2 linked regions of the Saccharomyces cerevisiae S288C genome follow. The protein of the gene in region 2 purifies or fractionates together with the protein of the main gene of each other region. This does not show direct contact. Each region holds a gene or a part of one and is shown on either strand. Other genes may lie near its edges.

The links.
Region 1: the proteins of ATP25 (region 2) and LSM5 purify together in Saccharomyces cerevisiae (affinity purification with mass spectrometry, with the first as the bait; one large-scale study listed by BioGRID). This does not show direct contact.

Annotation. Positions count from the first base shown.
Region 1 is NC_001137.3:458,593-463,372, reverse strand, and holds LSM5 (RNA-binding protein LSM5), read right to left. Parts: upstream 789-4,780; coding exon 507-788; downstream 1-506. Other genes in the region: cohesin-loading factor complex subunit SCC4, read left to right, coding at 1-405; YER145C-A (uncharacterized protein), read left to right, coding at 550-987; high-affinity iron permease FTR1, read left to right, coding at 1,633-2,847; putative ubiquitin-specific protease UBP5, read left to right, coding at 3,150-4,780. UniProt on the Saccharomyces cerevisiae protein: Component of LSm protein complexes, which are involved in RNA processing and may function in a chaperone-like manner. Component of the cytoplasmic LSM1-LSM7 complex which is involved in mRNA degradation by activating the decapping step.
Region 2 is NC_001145.3:451,818-470,595, reverse strand, and holds ATP25 (Atp25p), read left to right. Parts: upstream 1-7,986; coding exon 7,987-9,825; downstream 9,826-18,778. Other genes in the region: LAF1 (Laf1p), read left to right, coding at 1-748; SRT1 (ditrans,polycis-polyprenyl diphosphate synthase), read left to right, coding at 1,120-2,151; MYND-type zinc finger protein MUB1, read right to left, coding at 2,434-4,296; YMR099C (glucose-6-phosphate 1-epimerase), read left to right, coding at 5,769-6,662; putative GTPase MTG1, read left to right, coding at 10,069-11,172; pyridoxine biosynthesis protein SNZ1, read right to left, coding at 11,295-12,188; SNO1 (putative pyridoxal 5'-phosphate synthase), read left to right, coding at 12,637-13,311; CTF13 (Ctf13p), read right to left, coding at 13,335-14,771; snoRNA-binding rRNA-processing protein UTP15, read right to left, coding at 15,040-16,581; AIP1 (Aip1p), read left to right, coding at 17,117-18,778. UniProt on the Saccharomyces cerevisiae protein: mRNA stabilization factor specific for the 0.95 kb OLI1 mRNA. Also involved in OLI1 ring formation.

The sequences.
Region 1 (4,780 bases), on a different chromosome or scaffold from region 2:
CTTTTCAGCCATTTCGAGCCGTTCAGTTGGAACCCGCTGCCATGTAGTGACAAGCAGCGCGCCGAGTACGTGTCGAAGCTCCGCGAGTTCTACTCTAGCAACAAGTTCGTTGCCGGAGAAGCCGTTGCGGACAACCGCTTCAAATTGAAGAAGGCTCTGTTGCTGCAAATACTGGTAAACTACTTAGGCGGTCGAATGCTCGAACACGATCTGGGCGAGATCTATGCGATTTCAGCAAAGTGTTTCGATATGTGCCGCCAGCAGGGCGGCATGCGCAAGGTCCAATACGTGATCGGAATATGGCATTTAATGAATTGTACGGTGGCGATGCGGGGAAAAGACGTCGCTCTCACGAACGCGAAGCTGGAGGCGCTGGTTAAGCAAATCACCAGTGTCAAACAATAAACCAAAAAAAAAAAAAGAAACACTTGATTTCCTTTATCTATTTTTATACTTAATTATTTTTTTTAGATGCACTATACAAATTCGCGTTAATTTTTGCCTTTTTACAACGCCTCCGTAGGGGTCTTTTTGCCGCCTGGCACAAGGATGGCAATATTGTTGCCGCTTAAAAGCATTCTGCCATGGTGCTGCATAACTTTCTCATTTCTGCTCTCGTCCTCAGGATCGATAAGCCACTCGACAGCGTCTTCCAGTATAACGTTGACGAAGTCGTCGAAACCAACTAACGTGCCCTCGAACTCGCGGTTCGACTGCAGCACAATCAACACTTTCTGGTTAATTGTTTTATCTATGACTTCCAAAGGCAAAATCTCCGGTAGACTCATTTTGCGCGCTTCTGTGTATGCTTGTGAGTGCACGTGTATACGCTATGCTTGTTGTGAGACCATCTATCCGCCAAGGAAGCCTTTTTCGCTTTCTCTGTATTTTTTCTACTTCAATAAGAAAGCAAGTATTCTGTTTTGCTACCCGGATGCAAAGACAAAACCCGAGCATCCGGGTAATAAAAGAGCAGGGTCCGGCTGAAGGTGCCAAAAAAGACCAAAAAGGGCTATATTATCTCTCTCTTACGATTGCCTCTGGTTAAAAAATGAAATAGATAATAAAAGGGCAGCAAAGAAAAAAAAGAAGAATACAATATACGTATACGTTCTCAACAATTTTTCGTCCTGTTTTTTTCTTGACCACGGTCACTACTAACTCCTGAGACATCAGACCAACGTGTAGAAAAAAAGAAATCGGGTCCGGCACTGACACACGCTCTGCGCCAATCAACCAGGGCGCATCGAGCATTCTTTCCAGGCCAGGGTGCAGAAATACTATTATTAAGTGCGCGAATACTGCTGGTGCATTAAACGAGCGAGTACAGTGAGCCCGCCGCTGACTGCCGACTCACGCCAGGCCGCTATTTCCTTCCCCCGCCCGCGTAAGCCGTGCCGAGCACCGTCGCAGCAGTAAGAAGGTGCGCATTTCATTCTCTGCACAGCGTAGATGAATGCACCCGATTTCTAAGTTGGTGTTGCAAGGCCCGGTGGAAGCGATGGGCTGTAGTTCGACCTTGAGCTTTTAGTTATATAAAATGCTCAATGTGAGCAAAAAAATACATAACACGACGGATTGTACGTTGTCGAAATCTTCTCTCAGCAGGTCATCACACATATACTTCCCGCCATGCCTAACAAAGTGTTTAACGTGGCCGTTTTCTTCGTTGTGTTCAGAGAGTGCTTGGAAGCAGTGATTGTTATTTCCGTGCTGCTATCGTTTTTGAAACAGGCAATCGGGGAACATGACCGGGCGCTGTACCGTAAATTAAGGATTCAGGTTTGGGTCGGTGTGTTACTCGGGTTCATCATTTGTCTGGCCATCGGTGCAGGTTTCATCGGTGCGTACTATTCGCTGCAGAAGGATATTTTCGGAAGCGCGGAAGACTTGTGGGAAGGTATCTTTTGTATGATTGCGACGATAATGATCTCGATGATGGGTATTCCTATGTTGAGAATGAATAAGATGCAGAGTAAGTGGAGAGTGAAGATTGCGCGGTCGTTGGTGGAGATTCCTCACCGTAAGAGAGACTATTTCAAGATTGGGTTCTTGAGTAGAAGATATGCTATGTTCCTTTTGCCGTTTATTACTGTCTTGAGAGAAGGTTTGGAAGCTGTTGTGTTCGTTGCCGGTGCAGGTATTACCACACAGGGCTCGCACGCCTCTGCTTACCCATTGCCCGTTGTGGTTGGTTTGATATGTGGTGGTCTTGTTGGGTATTTGTTGTACTATGGTGCTTCGAAATCCTCGCTGCAGATTTTCTTGATTTTGTCTACTTCGATCTTGTACCTGATCTCCGCCGGTCTTTTCTCTCGTGGTGCGTGGTACTTTGAAAATTACAGATTCAACCTTGCCAGTGGTGGTGATGCTTCCGAAGGCGGTGATGGTAATGGGTCTTATAACATCAGAAAGGCCGTTTACCATGTCAATTGTTGCAACCCAGAACTGGACAATGGGTGGGATATCTTCAATGCTTTGCTTGGATGGCAGAACACCGGCTACTTGTCATCCATGCTTTGTTACAACATCTATTGGTTGGTTCTTATCATTGTGTTGAGTTTAATGATATTCGAAGAAAGGCGTGGTCACTTGCCTTTCACCAAAAACTTACAATTGAAACACTTGAACCCAGGATACTGGATCAAGAACAAGAAAAAGCAGGAGTTGACGGAAGAGCAAAAGAGACAACTGTTTGCCAAGATGGAGAACATCAACTTCAATGAAGATGGTGAGATCAATGTGCAAGAGAACTACGAACTTCCCGAGCAAACTACCAGTCATTCCTCGTCTCAAAACGTCGCCACAGACAAGGAAGTCCTCCACGTTAAAGCCGACTCTCTTTGAATGAAGTCTAGCACAGGGTGGGAGTTTTCCACCTATTTTCTGTTGATAAAAATACTACATTTATATACATATATACAATAATTTCTAATATCGTTTTTATAAAGTTGGCCTTGTCTGTACGGCGTCGCAAAACAAGAACCCCTGGTCCAATTGATCTACCGGGCATTGATTTTTTTTCTTTTTTCCTTGCGCCTCACTTCAACACATCAAGTAAACACCAGCTATATTTAGTTGCTAGGTATTCTCCAACGTATGTGGAGTCCTTTCTTTATTATCTCTCTACACAAATAGGCACAAGCGTAATGGGCTCAGAACAAGCCTTAAGTGAGGTTGTCGAATCTGCTAAAGAGCGGTTCGGCAGGCTTAGGCATTTAGTTCAGAAGTTTCTTGATGATGACGACGTGCCACAAGAGTGTCTGCCTTTGCTCCAAGAATGCGCAGAAATATGGTCTAGTTATGTGGACGCATGCCAGGATATAACCATGCAGGCCCCTAAAGAAGATGCAAACCGGTTGTCAAAGGGGTTTCTCCGATTGAATGAAACAGCTTTTTTATATTACATGATCGTATATACGCTCTTGGAGGATACTCTACCAAGACTAAAGGAATTTTCGAGCAACAAGGACCAGAATGTTAGAAATTTGTACGGGGAGAGAATCCAGCTTTTGCATAATGACCCAAATATTGAGCGGATTCGAAATGTCATTGAAAATTACCCTAAATTTATACAGTTGCAAACTATAGAGCCTGGAAAATTAAGTTCAATGTTGCATTTTCATGGTGACGCTCTCTTGCTTATCGATGTACGGCCCAGGTCTGAATTCGTTAGGGCCCATATCAAATGCAAAAACATTATATGCATCGATCCTGCCTCATTTAAGGATTCTTTTACAGACCAACAAATTGAAAGTGTCTCTTTGATCACTTCGCCGCACTCAGATATCACTTTCTTTTCAAATCGAGACAAGTTCAAGTTCATTATTTTATATACTGACACTCAATTGCATAATAATTTCCAGCAAAGGCAAACTCGCATCCTTGCGAAGATTCTTTCCCAAAATTCAGTAATTAAACCGCTGAGTGGGACGAAAATACTCATTTTGGAAAATGGGTTCTCAAACTGGGTTAAATTAGGTGGGGCGTATCAATCATCTGTCAGTGAAACAGCGCATCTTACATCCTCGTCTTCAACGCCAGCTTTTGGTAGTCCGCAAGTCCCAACAGGCTTGTTCAATCAGAAATCTCTATCTCCAAATAAAGATAAGAGTATGCCGATGGTATCCATGAATACGCAGCCTTTGCTAACAACGGTGCAAAGGCCTCAATTACCCTTATACTATTCAGATTTGCCCATTATACCGCAACCAAGCCCCAACAGAAATTCTCCCACCGTTCAAAAATTTAGTCCACATCCACCAACCACTCTCTCAAAACTCAATACACCCTCGACCATTCAAAATAAAGCAAACACTGTGGAAAGAATATCGCCAGATATCCGCGCTGCACAAGCCCATGCCTATTTGCCCCCTGCATCGAATGTATTCTCGCCACGTATTCCGCCTTTACCACAACAGAACTTGTCTTCGTCGAGGCAGACCATCCTAAACAACTCACAAGTGCTTGATCTAGATCTTATAGTAGGATTGGAAAATATAGGTAACTGTTGTTATATGAACTGTATACTTCAATGTTTGGTGGGAACACACGATTTGGTTCGAATGTTTTTGGATAACACATATCTGAATTTTATTAATTTTGATAGTTCAAGAGGTTCTAAGGGGTTGCTAGCTAAAAATTTCGCCATCTTGGTCAATAATATGCACAGACACGGTGCATTCACACCTCCTAACGTAAGAACGATACCAGTTCAGACTATTCAGTTTAAAAAAATTTGCGGCCATATCAACCCCATGTATAGTGATTCAATGCAGCA
Region 2 (18,778 bases):
TTGTGTTAGCATTGCACCGCCAGAAACTTCGAAAACATTATCTTTGTCTAACGATGTTATCTGCGAGCTATCTCTAGAGTTTTTTCAGACATCCGATAGTTTCGATGTTTTGAGTCGGAGTAACGACGATGGCATAATGTCAGATGTAGAGTCGTCTTTGGGCTACAATTCTAAACCAGGCTCAATTTCTAATGCTTCCGCCACCAGTGCTATCCCAGATGTCGTTGACGCAATTGGAACGATATTGATCAGTACTGATAACGTAGGGACTATTCGTGTGTTTAGAGCAGATATGCCCTCTGTTATAAGAAAGCGCGTGTTACTCAAACTAGAAGAATACAATAGAGAGGTTCGGAGAAGGTTTAACAGTTCTGATTCTTTGCATTCTTTGAGTCGAAGCTTCAACTCGAGAGCGAAATCAAACTTGGCTGGCCAACCGGCAGCGGCGTATACTAATACTGGAAAAGGCTATGCAACGGGACGTGGATACTCTAATATATGTCCCAAAAGCAGTACATCACTAAAAACACTCGGCAGTAATGCACAGCCAAGAACACCAAGGGAAAGCATGTCATCTATTTTCTCCAATGCACATGGGCCTACCACTCCAACGAGCGCAATGAATTTACCTATCCGTTGCAATGTTTGTAACGGTTCAAGGTTTGAGGCTTTTTCTGGTGCTAATGACCAACAAGATAGAAACTATTATTGCGTAGACTGCGGTACAGTAGTTAATAACTTCCGCTAACGCTGATGGAGTATTTTTTTTCCGTGGATGATACCTTTAAATGCATATTAATCTTCGTACATAAAGTAAAGAAACACGATACACTTAAATAAATTTTAATCTAATAATTAATGAACGCTAACAATGAGCCTATCATTTGTTGCCGATATACTATAACGTATCTCTTCGAAAGAACAAAACGGAGTGAGTGCCTGTTAAGGGTAACTACTCCAAACTGAGTGGACCTCGGCGGCTAAAGCTATACTTTTTCTGTTATTTAAGGGACCTAAAAATACACACAGAGTAGATTAAGATTTGGTGCACTTTTCTCAATTTATCAACTTATAAAGAACAGGCTGCCTTTCAAACATAGGACGTTTCTGTTGACCATAATGAAAATGCCCAGTATTATTCAGATTCAGTTTGTAGCCCTAAAAAGGCTTTTGGTAGAAACCAAAGAACAGATGTGCTTCGCAGTGAAAAGTATATTTCAGAGAGTATTTGCGTGGGTTATGTCATTAAGCTTGTTTTCATGGTTTTATGTAAATCTTCAGAATATTTTGATAAAAGCATTAAGGGTAGGGCCAGTGCCTGAACATGTCTCCTTTATCATGGATGGTAACCGGAGATATGCCAAGTCAAGAAGGCTACCAGTAAAAAAAGGCCATGAAGCTGGTGGGTTAACGTTACTAACACTACTGTATATCTGCAAAAGATTGGGTGTAAAATGTGTTTCCGCCTATGCATTTTCTATTGAAAATTTTAATAGACCAAAAGAAGAAGTAGATACGCTAATGAATTTGTTTACGGTAAAGCTTGATGAATTCGCAAAAAGAGCCAAGGACTATAAGGATCCCTTATACGGATCTAAAATAAGAATAGTAGGTGATCAATCTTTACTATCTCCAGAAATGAGAAAAAAAATTAAAAAAGTGGAAGAAATCACACAGGATGGAGACGATTTCACTTTATTTATATGTTTTCCTTACACTTCAAGAAATGATATGTTACATACTATTCGTGATTCAGTTGAAGACCATTTGGAAAATAAATCACCAAGGATTAATATAAGAAAATTTACTAATAAAATGTACATGGGTTTCCATTCCAATAAATGTGAATTATTAATCAGAACAAGTGGGCATAGGAGGCTCTCAGACTATATGCTATGGCAAGTACATGAAAATGCCACCATTGAATTTAGTGATACGTTGTGGCCAAATTTTAGCTTCTTTGCTATGTACCTGATGATTCTCAAATGGTCCTTCTTTTCCACCATTCAAAAATATAATGAGAAGAATCACTCATTGTTTGAAAAAATACATGAAAGCGTTCCTTCAATATTTAAAAAAAAGAAAACAGCTATGTCTTTGTACAACTTTCCAAACCCCCCCATTTCAGTTTCGGTTACAGGAGATGAATAAGTAAAAGTGCAAAACTAGAAAGCCCAAGAGAGGGCAAAGAACATTCTGAAAACTCCCTGATTCTTCCATACCTATTACCATATTACATCATTTTTAATTAGTAGTCTTTTAATTATCTATTATATCCGGTATATAAAATATCCTTGCGCCAAGTGTATAGCTAATAAAATGTAAAAAAAAAAAAAATTAGGAACAAAAAATAAAAAAAGCGAAAACAAAAAACTCCGTTAATGAATATTTCATGATCTTGTTAAACCTAGGTCATCGAAATCCCCTTGTACTTTACTCAGGTATGCTATTTTCATCCCTATTGCTTATTTCATCAGGTACGGTGGTGGATATATTAGGAGTGAACGTACTGGTAGAATTCGAAACATCAGCTGCTGTAGTAGCGGTGGCATTTAAAGAACTAGGCTCATTTGGGGTATTGACACCTGTGGTAGTATTCGTGGATCTCATATGACTTGATCCAACTTCGTGACACCAATACCTATGATATCCCCATGCTTTTAATTGACACTTTCGTGAGCAATATTTCGTTCTTTTGCATCGACGACATTTTGCAAATTGTCTTGGAAAATCTTCCCATTTTCCGCACGAAAAATTGGCACACTGACGCACACCTAAGATCTCATTTTTTCGACATGAATTTCTCATGATGACAGAACTCCAATATATAACATCATGTGTATTTTCTGCGCTCACTGTATATTTTTCGACTAAGGGGAAGATGTTTACAACATTTGTTAGTACCTTGTTTTTGTAAACAATATTTGTTAATTCCTTTTTCATTTTATCGTAGCTCCAGCGCCTTTCAAAGTTATCAGATATTTTCTTCCTTAAATTAATTCTTTCCTTGTCTTTGCCATAGGCATTGTCGTCGCTAGGTTTCGGTACACGGTAGCGCTCAAACAAATTAAGAACGGGACAGTGGTTATTACATATTTCATTTTGTTCTTCTTGTTGACATCTGTTTGAGAGTTCTTCTAATTCTTTGAAAAATGGATCCATTTTGCTAGTATCTAGTGCCTTAACTTTGGAATTGTTTTCAGGATTTTTCGATAAATAAGGATATAATGAAGACAATTTTACAGTTACGTCTCTTTCTTGTTCTTCTAAGTCATTCTCTTCTGAGATTCTCTGTTTAATTTTGTAAGCCATACTTCTGAACGATAGGGATTCAACCAGCTCAACATTTTGAAGGGTTGATTTCATATATGTATACTTCGAAACAAAAGCTAATAACTGAAGCGACCATATAACGTCGTCTTGTTTGGGGACAATTCTTCCGAGAAAAAATTCACGTGGAGTGGAAATTGTAGGTCTATTAATGTCTGGTTGCGAAAAGAAATTCTTATGTGCATCAAAATTTTCACTTTCTACTTCACTATCAATATCAATGTCGTCGTCGTGTCTTTCCTGGTCAGGTTCAAAATTGCTAGCTAGGTCTGCAAACCGGCCCCATATATCACTAAAATCAGTTGGAATTGTCATAGACGGTGCCACTAATCGTTCGTTTAGAAAATTTTTGTCAGTTGACAACTTCAATTTATCCTGACCTGTAATGAACTCTATATACTGCTGATATGTTTCATTCTCATCTTTTCTCATGAATTTATACATTGTCTCCGTGGTTATCCCTTTGAAGTCAAAGGTCATTGTTTGATCTTTGATGAAGTCGTAATTTTTATGATATAGTAAATAGTTATCCAATACTGTGACCAGCACAGATAAGACCCCAGACATTACCACTTTTTTACGAATTTGTTCTGTCCCTCTAGTACCTGTCAATACTAAGCACTGAAATGTTAAAGTCCATTTCCAAGCGCATAGTGCTAGTCTTTTCTCCTTCCATAGATCCTTTATGTTTTCGTGCTCATTAAAATTTTCTAAATCCAAATCCAGCAACTCAAACAAACTTAAATGACAACTCCTCAATATTGAGACTAATCTTTCGAGAGCACCGTCGTTAGCTACCGTTTCCCTAACTTTTGATGAATTAGAGGTTAGATATGTTAAGTAGTTTAGGGAGTTTATTAACGGAATACTAGAGTTGATATCCAATGCCCTTCGGTCATAGACAGTAGATGTTATTGTTACTATAGGCTTGTTCGACGTTAATGATCGATGATTAGAGTCTCTCATTTCTTTACCTTTTCTTTGTTTTGAATATTTCAAATTACGTTCTATACGCTGTTATGATATGTTAATATAGCAAAAACAAACAAAAACTCCCAGGGAAATGAATTGAAAAATGCAACAAATAGGGACCTCACCTTTGTATAATGGAAGATTCCCAAGTTTCACTTATAGTTGATCAATGGGTATGATGAAATTAGCAAAGTAAAAAAGGGAATGTTTAATGGTTCAACTTAGATAAATGGAAGGTTGAATATGAGAACCAACAAAAATAAAAAATAAATAAAGTCTCAAATTATCTATATCGCTCTAATGAGGAAGTCACTGTGCACACTTACAGAAACTATATAAAAAACGGATATTTTTCTCTTCAGGTAGGGAAGTTTGTCCAGCACTTTCTTCCTTGTGAGCTGCTCTAGGTCTTTCGTTTGTATAGGCCGACCATCAATAACCCAACTCTCAAATTTTGCCACTGAACACCCATACAATACATAACCAAAGTATTCTAGTTGTTATCCTAGCTCGATGCATTGTTGTAGTAGGCCTAATAAGAAGATAGTTCAACCAAGAAAAATAGTCAAAAGGCTTTTTGCCGTTTGAACCATCATAAACTTATGGAAGCCATCTAAATAATTTTCCTTTTTCCTGGTTCCTTTCTATGTATCCAAAGATATATATTAAGTAGCCCACTTCTAGCCAACTTCTAGCCCACTTCTTAGGTAGTAACTATACGCAGCTGCTCCAGGAGGGAAAGAAAAAACCAACGGTCTATATTGTAATAACTATTAGTTTTCTTTCTCTTTCCGTGGGCTTCAACGGCCTTTATATAGCTCTTATTATTCGGAGTTGCTATTGGCGGCTAATATCTTGCGAAAAACGTGAGAATATGAACTTTAAAGTACACATGACTCGATTACTGATAACAAAATTGAGAGGGAAATACATAAGTCAAAATAATAAATGTCTGATGGACCATCTAACAGTTCACCTCGATCTACATATATTTCAATGCGAGAATGATTAATTCTTGCCATTGACAAACAACCCTTTTACTGCCAGCGCCTTTCATAACCATGTAGTTTTATATGCCTAATTATAATAAAGCATGACATATAATGCCAACCCCATATTTATATAGTTAACTTGAAACCGAGATTCATCTATTGCACCAGGAAAAGTGCCTTCTTCTTAAAACATAAGTTACGTCCCGACCATTCATCTAAACGGCATCAATCATTGCAGCAGAAGAAATAGTGTGTAGATGTCCTCGTTCGCTAGACGCAGTCAATGATAACAAGGTCTTTCTTCAAGCTGTCTTTCCATAAAAAGGTATCGCAAATGGGGTCACCAATGCGCCTTTTATTTTTCACGCCGAAAGAAAACTTAGTAGGTCCCTAGAAATGAATAAAGAGGTGATTCTGAGGTTCATTATAAGCCTTTGGTAAAACTTGAACCAAGAAAGATTAAAACACAAAGCCATGCCTATCAAAGAAACTGATAAAGAAGTTGTTTTGACTCATCCAGCTGATGAGACCACCAGCGTTCATATTCTAAAGTACGGTGCTACAGTTTATTCTTGGAAATTGAAATCTGAAGAACAGTTGTGGTTGTCTACTGCTGCTAAATTGGATGGTAGCAAACCTGTGAGAGGTGGTATACCTTTGGTCTTTCCTGTATTCGGGAAAAATAGCACCGATGAACATTTGAGTAAATTACCTCAACATGGTCTTGCAAGAAATTCTACTTGGGAGTTTTTGGGTCAAACTAAGGAAAACCCACCGACCGTACAATTTGGCTTGAAACCAGAAATTGCTAACCCAGAATTGACCAAATTGTGGCCAATGGATTATCTTTTGATTTTGACTGTTGAATTAGGCTCCGATTATTTGAAAACTGCCATAGAAGTAGAAAACACATCTAGTTCCAAGGAATTAAAGTTCAACTGGTTGTTCCATACATACTTCCGTATCGAAGATATTGAAGGAACAATGGTCTCTAATTTAGCTGGCATGAAACTTTATGACCAACTGTTGAAGGAATCCTACGTCGACAAGCACCCAGTCGTTACCTTCAATCAAGAAACCGATGTAATTTATCAGAATGTCAGCGCCGAACGGGCCATTCAAATAGTTGACAAGGGCGTTCAAATTCACACTCTAAAAAGATACAACTTGCCCGACACTGTTGTTTGGAATCCATGGATTGAGAAGTCTCAAGGGATGGCCGATTTCGAACCAAAAACTGGTTACCAACAAATGATATGTATTGAACCTGGTCATGTTCATGATTTTATTTCCTTGGCTCCTGGTAAAAAATGGAATGCTTATCAATTACTTTGCAAAGAAGAATTGAAATATCAAGCTATTCAATAAATAATATAAAAAAATGTAGCAACGGTAATTTTTATAAAGTAAATTCCCAGTTGTATACTTTTCTTAATGTGGGCTATTTGATTACCTCCATCCTTTATCTTTGTTTTTGTTGACGAACAACTAAAGCAACATTCTGTTTACTAAGACTCTTATTTAATTCCAAGTGCAGCAAGAACAAATTGCCAAAAGCGTATTGTTAAACTTGTTCTGGCAGCATATTATCGTAAAATTAAGTAACGTTTTTAAAAATGACACTGAATTCTACTTTGTGATGATCAAACAACACCCACCTGGTCTGATAAAAAAATCTCCGCGACGGGGAATTGAACCCCGATCTGGCACGCGACAAGCGCCCATTCTGACCATTAAACTATCACGGACAAATTTCTGAAGTTTTGTACTTTTACCAGTCCATCTAATACCATATATTTTGATAATAATTATGTCTTTGACAGTAACTTATCATCAGGACTGTTGGAATAAAAATCAAAAATCAACTATCGTCTATCAACTAGTAGTCACACTACCAGTATATTATGATATACGGTGTTAGATGATGGCATAAGGTATGAGAAGCTGTCATCGAAGTTAGAGGATGCTGAAATGCAAGGATTGATAATGTAATAGGATAATGAAACATGTAAAACAGAGTGAAGAATAATCGTAATACTATTATGTAGAAATATGGATTCCATTTGAGGGTTCCTATATCCTCGAGGAGAACTTTTAGTATATTTTGTGTACTATTATTATAGCTGTTAAGTATAATTGGATCCTAACAATTCTCATTATTTGTCAAATTCTCATCATCTATATATTAGACGCCGCATATAGGAAACAGCGATCAAACTTTAACGAAGCGAACATACAATATTCCTGATGTAATAATACCAATCAGCGAACTGTACGAAACAAATAGAAGAACGTTATATTATATGGGATTTTACACTTTTTTGGTGGTATCATATATGCTTGAAAAGATCCTGCAGCATTTCTATATACCTGATAATATTGGTTTTATTAGAAATGGGGTCACAATCATCCGAACTATCGTAACTTTAGAAATAATCCGTCTTTCTTAAATAGTACTCTAGTACACAGTAATGGTATTTGTTTTTACTAGTATTTCTTGACATCTTTTTCTAACCTCTCTTCTAATATACTTGCAATCTTCTGATAATTATGCTTTTCATCCCGATAAAGAGAAACAATGAGGACCATTCAGCCAAAAAAAAAAAAAGCAAGTTAAGCTACTAAGAAAGATCGACACCAAGTGAAGATTAAGTGTAATAGCCTGCTTATTCAAAAATTGAGGTTTGTTGACATGAATAAATTCTGTCTACTACCTTTCCATGGCAAGAGGATAGGCGTGGCCAATATTCCTTTTACCATATTATTCAAAAAGGGCCCTTATTTTCTTCATAGTCACATCACAGCAGTTTATTACTCGACAAAGGGCAAAAATGACAGTCATGAACAAAGTCGTGTATCCAAAAAGTCTACTTTTACCCCTCTGGAAACACCTTGGTACCTCAGGATTGTTGACAATGAAAAGGAACTAATGGAAGGTAAGAAAAATAACCACCACACGATGAACAAAGAATTGGAGATACCTAAAACCTCTCCAAACTCATTAAGAAAAATAGCAGACCTCCTAACTGGTAAACTTGGTCTGGATGACTTCCTGGTTTTCGATTTACGGAAGAAAAGCCCAAACTCTGTTTCAGCCGTTAATAAGTTGGGTGACTTCATGGTCATATGTACAGCAAGATCTACCAAACATTGTCATAAAAGTTTCTTAGAGTTGAACAAGTTTTTGAAGCACGAATTCTGTAGTAGTGCATACGTTGAAGGAAACTTTAATGAGCGACAAGAAAGTAGAAGAAAAAGAAGATTAGCAAGAAAATCCAACCTTAGTAAACTATTAGGTAGAAGCTCTGAATGCTCTGCAAAAGACTTAAATAGTGAGGCTTGGTATATGATTGATTGTCGTGTCGATGGTATTTTTGTAAATATTTTGACACAGAGAAGGCGTAATGAATTGAATTTAGAAGAGCTGTATGCACCTGAAAATGAGAAATCTAAGTTCCAAAATATAGATTCAGGTAATGTCCCTACTATTTCAGGGGTAAATGAAATTTCAAGCAACAATAATATTCTTTTAGGCCTAAGAAGACTGGCCCAGCAAAGGAGAAGGTATTCAACTATCAACCCAAACGGGCTAAGTAATTTAAGATACTTTCTACAAAAGGAAGACTTCAAAGGAGCCAATAAGATAATTCAGAGTAGTAGTGGTACTGAAACTCACAATATACGTACTTTGGAGCATGTTAAAAATACTTTAAAGGATTTGGTAGGACAAGAGAGGAAAGTAGATGTTGTTCAATGGAAGTCCTTATTTGACGAACATTCAACTTTTTTAACCATAAATCAATCGGCTGCATATTGGCCACTACGACTAGAATATGCGATACTTCTAAACAAAGCAGACCCACAATTTTATTCAGATCGTGTTTTCCTCAAGGATTATCTACTTTTAAAAAAATCGTTGGGGCAAGAGTTAATAAGGGAAGATCTAATCGCTCTTTTAGAAATGGTTTTGAAAACGCAGCATTCTAGTCATTCATACTTTAACCTAGTAAAGCAAAATAGGGTGATTATCAGAGCTTTGAACCTATTTAAAGGTCTACAAACAGAGGACGATGGCTCAGTTGTTTACGATGAAGTGGTAATATCCCTTCTTTTAAATTCCATGGTCGCGGATGAACGGGTAAAATTGAGATCACTCTACGAGACAATAGACCACATTTTCCAAACATTTGGAGATAAGTTGACTTCAGGCATGATTGTCTCAATATTGCAAAACTTGGCCAAAATCAAAGACTGGAATAAGCTACTTCAAGTCTGGGAAGCTATCACACCAACGGAAGGGGAAGGTCAGGACAAAAGGCCCTGGAATGAATTTATAAATGTTATCAATCAAAGCGGTGATAGTCACGTTATATCGAAAATCGTAAATAATGGTCATTTGCTATGGATCAGACGTTTAAATGTTAACGTAACTCCGGAGTTATGCAACTCCATTAAAGCGTTATTAAAAACCGCTGGAATGGAGAATTCCACATTGGAAGAATTCCTAGTCCGTGGAACAAACAATCAATAGTATTACCTGTATATAATATCTTAATCTCTCGTCGTTCGCCTTATTTATATTTGAATCAAATATTTAATTCTGCCACATGGTAGGTTCATTTTGCCGCAGATCAAAGAACACGGACCATCATGTCAAAAGTACACAATTTTTGTCTTTTCGAAACAATTTGGTTTAGTTATTAGGAGAAGAAAGAACGAATGATAATGCTCATTACTCAGACCTGAATGCAAAAAAGCCAAATCAAATACAGAAATGCACATAAATGTGAGAGGAACTAGGAAAATAATTTCCAACGTTTCATCCTTCACACCAAGATATGAATTTCCAAAGTACAGTATGCCTCTCACTGATTTCAAGGGACACCAAGTCAAAGCTCTTAAAACATTTGAAAAGTTGCTTCCTCAAATGAATATGATAATAGAACTACGTGATATACGTGCCCCGTTATCTACAAGGAATGTGGTTTTCGATCGAATAGCAAGAAAGGAACACGATGTGATGAAATTAGTGGTATACACTAGAAAGGATCTTATGCCCGGCAATAAGCCATATATAGGAAAGTTAAAGAATTGGCATGAAGAGCTGGGAGAAAAGTTTATTTTACTGGATTGCCGAAACAAAACTGACGTCAGGAATCTACTAAAAATACTAGAATGGCAAAATTACGAACTAGAAACAAATGGCGGATATCTACCTATGGGATACCGAGCATTGATTACTGGCATGCCAAATGTTGGAAAATCTACTTTAATAAATAGCTTGAGGACAATTTTTCACAATCAAGTGAATATGGGAAGAAAATTTAAGAAAGTAGCCAAAACTGGTGCAGAAGCTGGTGTTACTAGAGCCACAAGCGAGGTTATTAGAGTAACTTCACGGAATACGGAATCAAGAAATGAAATATACTTGATAGATACTCCAGGAATCGGTGTTCCCGGTCGCGTTTCAGATCATAATAGAATGCTAGGACTGGCGTTGTGTGGTAGTGTTAAAAATAACCTTGTAGATCCAATATTTCAAGCGGATTACCTTTTATACCTAATGAACTTGCAAAATTTGAACGATGGAAGAACAGAGCTTTACCCTGGAAGCACCAATTCTCCCACAAATGATATATATGATGTTTTAAGAAGGCTTCAAGTGAATAAAAGCCAAAATGAAAAATCAACGGCTATCGAGTGGACTAACAAATGGAGGTTGCATGGAAAGGGTATCATATTTGACCCTGAGGTACTGTTGAATAATGACGAGTTTTCTTATAAAAACTATGTAAATGATCAATTGGAAAAGTTAGGAGATCTTTCGTATGAGGGATTGTCTAACAAACTAAAAGGGAACCCCAATCAAGTATTCTAGTAAATAATATCCAGCATACATAAGCTTATCTAATAATTAGATCATTTTACAATGTGTACCGAGTAATACAAAGTTGAGGGGGGAAAAAGTGTTATAATGCTCAAAATACCTGTTCAAAGAAATCACCACCCAATTTCGGAAAGTCTTACTCCATTGGAAGCATGACTAATAGATTCGATTGATACACCACCCATTAACTCTCCTAAGTCACTAGATACTTCCAACAATTTGCTGGGATTGTCAAAGTGAGTGGTAGCCTCTACTACTGCAGTGGCCAACCTTACAGGATTAGATGATTTAAAAATTCCTGAGCCAACAAACACACCATCACAACCCAACTGCATTAACAATGCGGCATCGGCTGGCGTTGCTACACCACCTGCAGCAAAATTTACTACTGGCAACTTACCTTTTTCTAAAACATCTTTCAGCAAAGAAACTGGTACCCTCATTTCCTCAGCAACTTTTGCAATGTCATCTTCGCTCTTCAATTGTTGGCACGCCTTTATCTCCTCTGTAATTCTCCTTATATGCTTGACGGCTTCAGAGACATCGCCCGTTCCAGCTTCACCCTTGGTACGAATCATAGCGGCGCCTTCATTAATTCTTCTCAAAGCTTCACCTAAGTCTTTAGCGCCACAAACAAATGGAACTTTGAATTTGTCCTTTTCAATGTGGTGAGTCCAATCAGCAGGAGTCAAGACTTCACTTTCGTCAATATAGTCAACTTCCAATGCCTCAATAATTTGAGCTTCAACAAAATGGCCAATCCTTACCTTAGCCATGACGGGAATGGAAACGGAGTTCATGATGTCCTTAATCATCTTCGGATCTGACATGCGGCAAACCTTTCCTGACTTACGCATATCTGCTGGGATGGATTCTAATGCCATTACCGCACATGCACCAGATTTTTCAGCTATTTTTGCCTGCTCTGGAGTAACAACATCCATAATAACGCCACCTTTTAACATTTGGGCGAGACCACTCTTGATCTTAAAGTCTTCTCCAGTCATCGTGATAATTAACTGAATATTAGTACTGTGTATATTTGCTAGTCGTTCCTAAAGGTTTCTCCAACAATACCATAGACTTCGTCCATAGCTCTCAGCGTCCTCCTATTTATATCGAAAATGGTACTTCGCAGCCAGAATTACAGACGTAACTAACGGTGCGGCAGAGTGTGTCAGAGTCATGAAGAAATGGCGGCGCTACCTGAAAAGTAGTGAAAAAGCCCGGCTTTCAACCCTTACCCTTGTCGGCTGAGTCATTATGTCATGATGAGCTATTCCAACTAGTGCCATAAATTCCAACTGAGTCAGTAAACGGCATTTATCAGCAATAACTGGTCACGAACTCTTTGAATGTTTTATTCTTTCTTCCAAAAATCACGTTGATGCCACCAGGTTTTTTTTTCTTATTATTTCATTTCGTTAAATAGAAAGAAAAACCATATCTTAAAGTATGCACAAAACCCACAGTACAATGTCCGGAAAGTCGATGAAAGTAATTGGGGTTTTGGCGTTGCAAGGTGCCTTTTTGGAGCATACCAACCATTTAAAAAGGTGTTTGGCTGAAAACGACTACGGAATAAAGATAGAAATCAAAACTGTAAAAACTCCTGAGGATCTAGCCCAGTGCGACGCCTTAATTATTCCCGGAGGAGAATCTACGTCGATGTCCCTCATCGCTCAAAGAACAGGCTTATATCCTTGTTTATACGAATTTGTTCATAATCCGGAAAAGGTAGTTTGGGGTACTTGTGCTGGTCTCATCTTTTTAAGCGCGCAATTAGAAAACGAAAGTGCCCTAGTAAAGACTTTAGGTGTGTTGAAGGTCGACGTGAGAAGAAACGCATTTGGAAGACAAGCTCAATCTTTTACACAAAAGTGTGATTTTTCCAATTTCATACCTGGCTGTGATAATTTTCCTGCTACATTTATTCGCGCACCCGTGATCGAGAGAATTCTTGATCCTATCGCGGTTAAAAGTTTATATGAATTGCCAGTGAATGGAAAGGATGTGGTTGTAGCTGCAACGCAAAATCATAATATCCTTGTGACTTCTTTTCATCCAGAGCTTGCTGACAGTGATACAAGATTTCATGATTGGTTTATCAGACAGTTTGTTTCTAATTAAAATACCGCCGGTTTTCCACATTTTTATATTACCAAAACCTGAGAGATTTTTTCACATCGATAAATCTCTACTCGTTTACTATCGAACAATGCTCTAGGTACGATGATATTGTTAAAAACTTCAGATACATTTTGTAGCTTGATATGGTTCAAAGTCCGAAAAGATAGCCAAACTATTGCTTGACATCGAAGGTATGTTATTTGATTAATTTCACTTTTGTCAAGCTCTTTTATTCTTGTGTGTCGTAAATTAAAAAATTTTGTGAATTTACTATCATCTTCCTTTATGTACAACGATTTAAAAGTTCTCTTATCGACTTTTAGTTCCTTTAGTATATTTTCCTCGATGTTCCACCACTTGATTTTACTTACACGTTTCATTGTCAGAGATTTAAAATTTTTGGGAAAGACAATGCTATTCAGGTCGATGTAAGCTACTCTACTTAATACAAGCTTTTGCAAGTTGTCCCATCTTGTAAAGTCAGCTAGTCCGGTTCTGGAAATTTGATTCATGCGTGATAGGCGTATTTCATTTATCCTACGTTTCACTATGTAACTAATCGTTTTACCAGGATTGTCTCTGAACCCATGAAAATTTATTAGCAACTCATATAATTTCTCTCCTCTCACAGTGATCTTCCGCAGGCTCTTCATGGATTCCATACTTCTTATTGTTCTTATAACAGAAATACTTGTTAGTTGGTTGTGCGTTGCTCCCACATTGCCATTATCTGAATGTGATCTTTTGGATGCTGACCTTTTCTTGTTTTTAATTGTGGAGCTAGGTGAGGAGTTTTCGTCAGAATTAGCTCCACTAACATCAACATCTTTCTCTTCTCCTACTTCTTCATCTTGTCCAAATTGTACCTCCCCGATTGTTGCGAATAAATCTTTCTGTTCTAAAATTGATAAGCATTTGTCTACTAGTTGTGGAGTTAGATTATCAATGTTGAATTGAATATTACTTACATTAAGTAAGTCAAGCTCGTCAAAAGCAACACTGTCTATCACCCACTTCTTGTACTCTTTAAAAGTATACCAAACTTCTAACATACTGGCCTTATTGAAGTAGGCCAGTCGAAGTTCATTATCAAGGTACGTCCATTCTAATGCATCTATAAGCGTTCCGTCATAAAGATGGTTTACTTTGAAACAGTCCAAAACCAGGCAATCATAGCGCAACCAAAATGCATACTCAAGCCATTTTTCAATGAGTTGCGGAGAGTATTCGAAAATGTTCAAATACGTGGCAAAAACAGGATACATGTATCTCAATAATTTCTTAGATCTCTTAGACCTTTTATAACTTGGTTTTCCTGGAAGCTCCACATCATTAGATTTGTATAATATATCTATTGGGTAGGGATGTGCTCCGCAAAAATTACCATCTAAATGGAAGTAAACTTCTTTTCTAATGTCAATTGGTAACTCTAAGAATCTAACAGGATTGAAAGAAGGCATCAAGCGACATGGACTTCTGGGGACTCACAGTCAGCTTTCTGTTGATAGCATCTCATCTCACAATGTTTTGTTTTCAAGCCCTCGAAGGTAGTTAAACGCGAAAACGTATCAAAATGCAAAGCACTCTAAAATGAAATTTATACAGGTTCCTTTTTTCAATAAAAAGAGAAGATATTATTTTTTTCGATTACAATGAGAAAGAGATATATATGTATGCCTGAATATCTATAAAATAGATACAAATTAAAATCTATATGCTAATATTTCCTTAACTCGTTAAAAGTTGAAGCATACCTTCAATTCTTTGAGCTTCTTTAGACTTATGAATTTCATGTCTAACTTTAGTTTTCAAATCTATCATCAATTCTTGAAGAACTGGAGAGCTTTCTAACGTATTCCCATATAATTCTAAAACCACGGCGACCCAATCCGCTACAATAGATGCTGATCTCACATCTTCAATACCTTTTAAGCACCAATTCAGTAGCGGCTCTAATGTAGATTCATCTCTACCATATAGCGCTACACGAACTTTGCCACGTTTGCGTAGTTCTTGAAGAACAGTAAGTGTCAACTCTTTGGCCATACCTGGTACAAAGGCATTGTCGAGTGCTTCGCTCCATTTAAACTGATTTATGTTCCTTTCGAATGCACGCATACGACGTTGAGATCTTACCTTATCATTGTGGATTATATGCTCTTGATCACCTTGGTATTCCGAGCCTCGCATCATTCTCTGGAAGTTATTACTTTTCGCATTCTTATTAAAACTGGCGGGTGCGTTTTCTTTATCGGAAGAACGTTTCTCTTTCTTTTTAGTTCTAATGGCTAGTAGTCCTGATGATAAACCTGCTACTAAATGCCTATTCCCTTGTGCGGTACTAGGGGAGACAGCACAACTTAGTACGGGACCCGAAAATTTCCAGCCAAATTTGACTTGGAAATTGTCTAAAGGATCAAAGACTTTGACATGACCATCTAAGGAAGAAGCGATCAACGCCGATTGCATTGGAGAATCAAAATTTTCAACATAGTCCAAGCATGTCACAGCCTTATTGAAATTGCCACGTTCGTATAATTTCTTGTTACTGGTCAAGTCCCACACTTTGAAATTATTGCCACCGCAAGAAACAATTTGGGTTGGAGATACTGCAATAACATTTTCAACAGGTTGGTCATGATTCAGAGAATAAATTGGCGTGGATCCGCTAGATCTTGTGTCATATAATCTGATCAAACCGTCGTATGAGCCTGTTGCAACCAAATGTGGGGCTGCTGGGATAAATGATAAGGTACGAACATAGTCAGTAGCTCCGGTGAGCTCTAATTGTGGCTCATATGCGTTGGATATATCCCAAAGTCTTGTCACTCTATCGTCACTCGCCGTAGCCAGAATTTTGTTATCTTGCGTATGGAATTTCGTAACATGTGTGGGATGTGTGGAAGCGTTTATAGATAAAAGGATAGTCCTGGGATTATAACTGTCGTATACAGACACTAAACCGGTAGCATCACCGGCACAAAGCAATTTACCATCACTCCTAAAGGATGCAGAATAGACAACATCTTTAAATCTTGAAAAGGTCTTGATCACTTGCCTAGTTCTTGAAGAAAATATTTGAACTCTGGTTGAGGAAGTTACTGCAAAATCATGAGGATGTTGAGGATTGAATGATATGTGAGTAACGCTATTATGTTCTTTAACCAGTTGTGCGGAAGTGTATTGACGCCAGTAACGCTGCTCCGGGGTAGTCTGTTGAGGCAATAATGGAGCCTTCGAAGTGATTATTCTAGGCCTAGCAGTCGACATTTTATTTCTATATTATGATCCTTAGGCCTGTTCTTAGCAAAAACTGTTTCAAGGGACTTCTATTAGTGATGGGCATCGTTTTTTCTTCAAAGCTCGAAAGTTTTCAAAATTTTTCAGTTATTCCAAAAATTTTCAAAAGATAATTATCACTAATTACGAGGTATGTAGGTCACAGAACGTTAAATATTATGCTTACTTGGGGTGAATGACTAGAAACTGGAGGTGTATCAATACTAGCTATTGCTTTCCGTTCATAATCAGAACTGAACGCTACCAAGACGTTCTGAAACGTTTTTATTGGTCTCTAGTGTCCCGTTCGTTTGTTTTCGAAACAATGAATTGTATATGATGTACGGATGTTTTCACCCTGTAACCTGCCACCTTTTCTACCGAAGGCATATATGTCAGATCTTTGATTAATGATCATTATTTAATTATAAGGGGAAGCAACTCAGCACTATTCTGCCTTTTGCAACTCGCAAATACAGTTTTTAAGGTATATTAACGGGCAAAAGTAGCAAAGTAAACAAAAATAATGTCATCTATCTCTTTGAAGGAAATTATACCACCTCAGCCTTCGACACAGCGTAACTTTACTACGCATTTATCGTATGACCCTACAACCAACGCAATTGCTTACCCATGTGGAAAATCTGCATTTGTACGTTGTTTGGACGATGGAGACAGTAAAGTACCTCCAGTAGTACAATTTACTGGTCATGGCTCTTCGGTAGTCACAACGGTAAAGTTCTCTCCAATTAAGGGTTCCCAGTACCTATGCTCCGGTGACGAATCTGGAAAAGTGATTGTTTGGGGATGGACATTTGACAAAGAAAGCAATTCTGTTGAAGTGAATGTTAAGTCTGAATTCCAAGTTTTAGCAGGTCCAATCAGCGATATCTCCTGGGATTTTGAAGGGCGAAGACTCTGCGTTGTGGGAGAAGGTCGTGATAACTTTGGTGTTTTCATATCCTGGGATTCTGGTAATTCCTTAGGTGAAGTTTCAGGTCACTCACAACGCATCAATGCTTGTCATTTGAAGCAATCTAGACCTATGAGATCTATGACAGTTGGAGATGATGGATCTGTTGTCTTTTATCAAGGACCTCCATTTAAGTTCTCTGCCAGTGACAGAACACACCACAAACAAGGCTCATTTGTCAGGGATGTTGAATTTTCACCTGACAGCGGTGAATTTGTTATTACGGTAGGGTCTGACAGAAAGATTTCTTGCTTTGATGGCAAATCAGGTGAGTTTCTTAAATACATAGAGGATGATCAAGAACCAGTTCAAGGTGGTATATTTGCACTATCGTGGCTTGATTCCCAAAAGTTTGCTACCGTAGGAGCAGACGCTACCATTAGGGTTTGGGACGTCACGACTTCAAAATGCGTTCAAAAATGGACCTTAGACAAGCAACAACTGGGAAATCAACAAGTTGGTGTTGTTGCAACAGGAAACGGAAGGATTATTTCTCTTTCACTGGATGGGACCTTAAACTTCTATGAACTTGGACATGACGAGGTTTTAAAAACCATTAGTGGTCATAACAAGGGTATTACTGCTTTGACAGTCAACCCACTAATCAGTGGGTCATATGATGGTAGGATTATGGAATGGTCTAGCTCTTCCATGCACCAAGATCACTCCAACTTGATTGTATCATTGGATAATAGTAAAGCGCAAGAATACTCCAGTATTTCTTGGGATGATACTTTGAAAGTGAACGGTATTACTAAGCATGAATTTGGATCGCAACCAAAGGTTGCTAGTGCGAACAATGATGGCTTCACTGCAGTACTAACAAATGATGATGATTTGTTGATATTACAGTCTTTTACGGGCGATATAATCAAGAGTGTAAGACTGAACTCACCAGGCTCTGCCGTTAGCTTGAGCCAAAATTACGTTGCAGTTGGTTTGGAAGAAGGTAATACTATTCAGGTATTCAAATTATCAGATTTGGAAGTCAGTTTTGATTTAAAAACACCTCTTCGCGCAAAACCCTCGTACATATCAATTTCGCCATCTGAAACATACATCGCTGCTGGAGATGTTATGGGCAAGATATTGCTATATGATTTACAATCAAGAGAAGTGAAAACTTCAAGATGGGCTTTCCACACCAGTAAAATCAACGCCATTTCATGGAAACCTGCTGAAAAGGGAGCAAACGAAGAGGAAATTGAAGAGGAC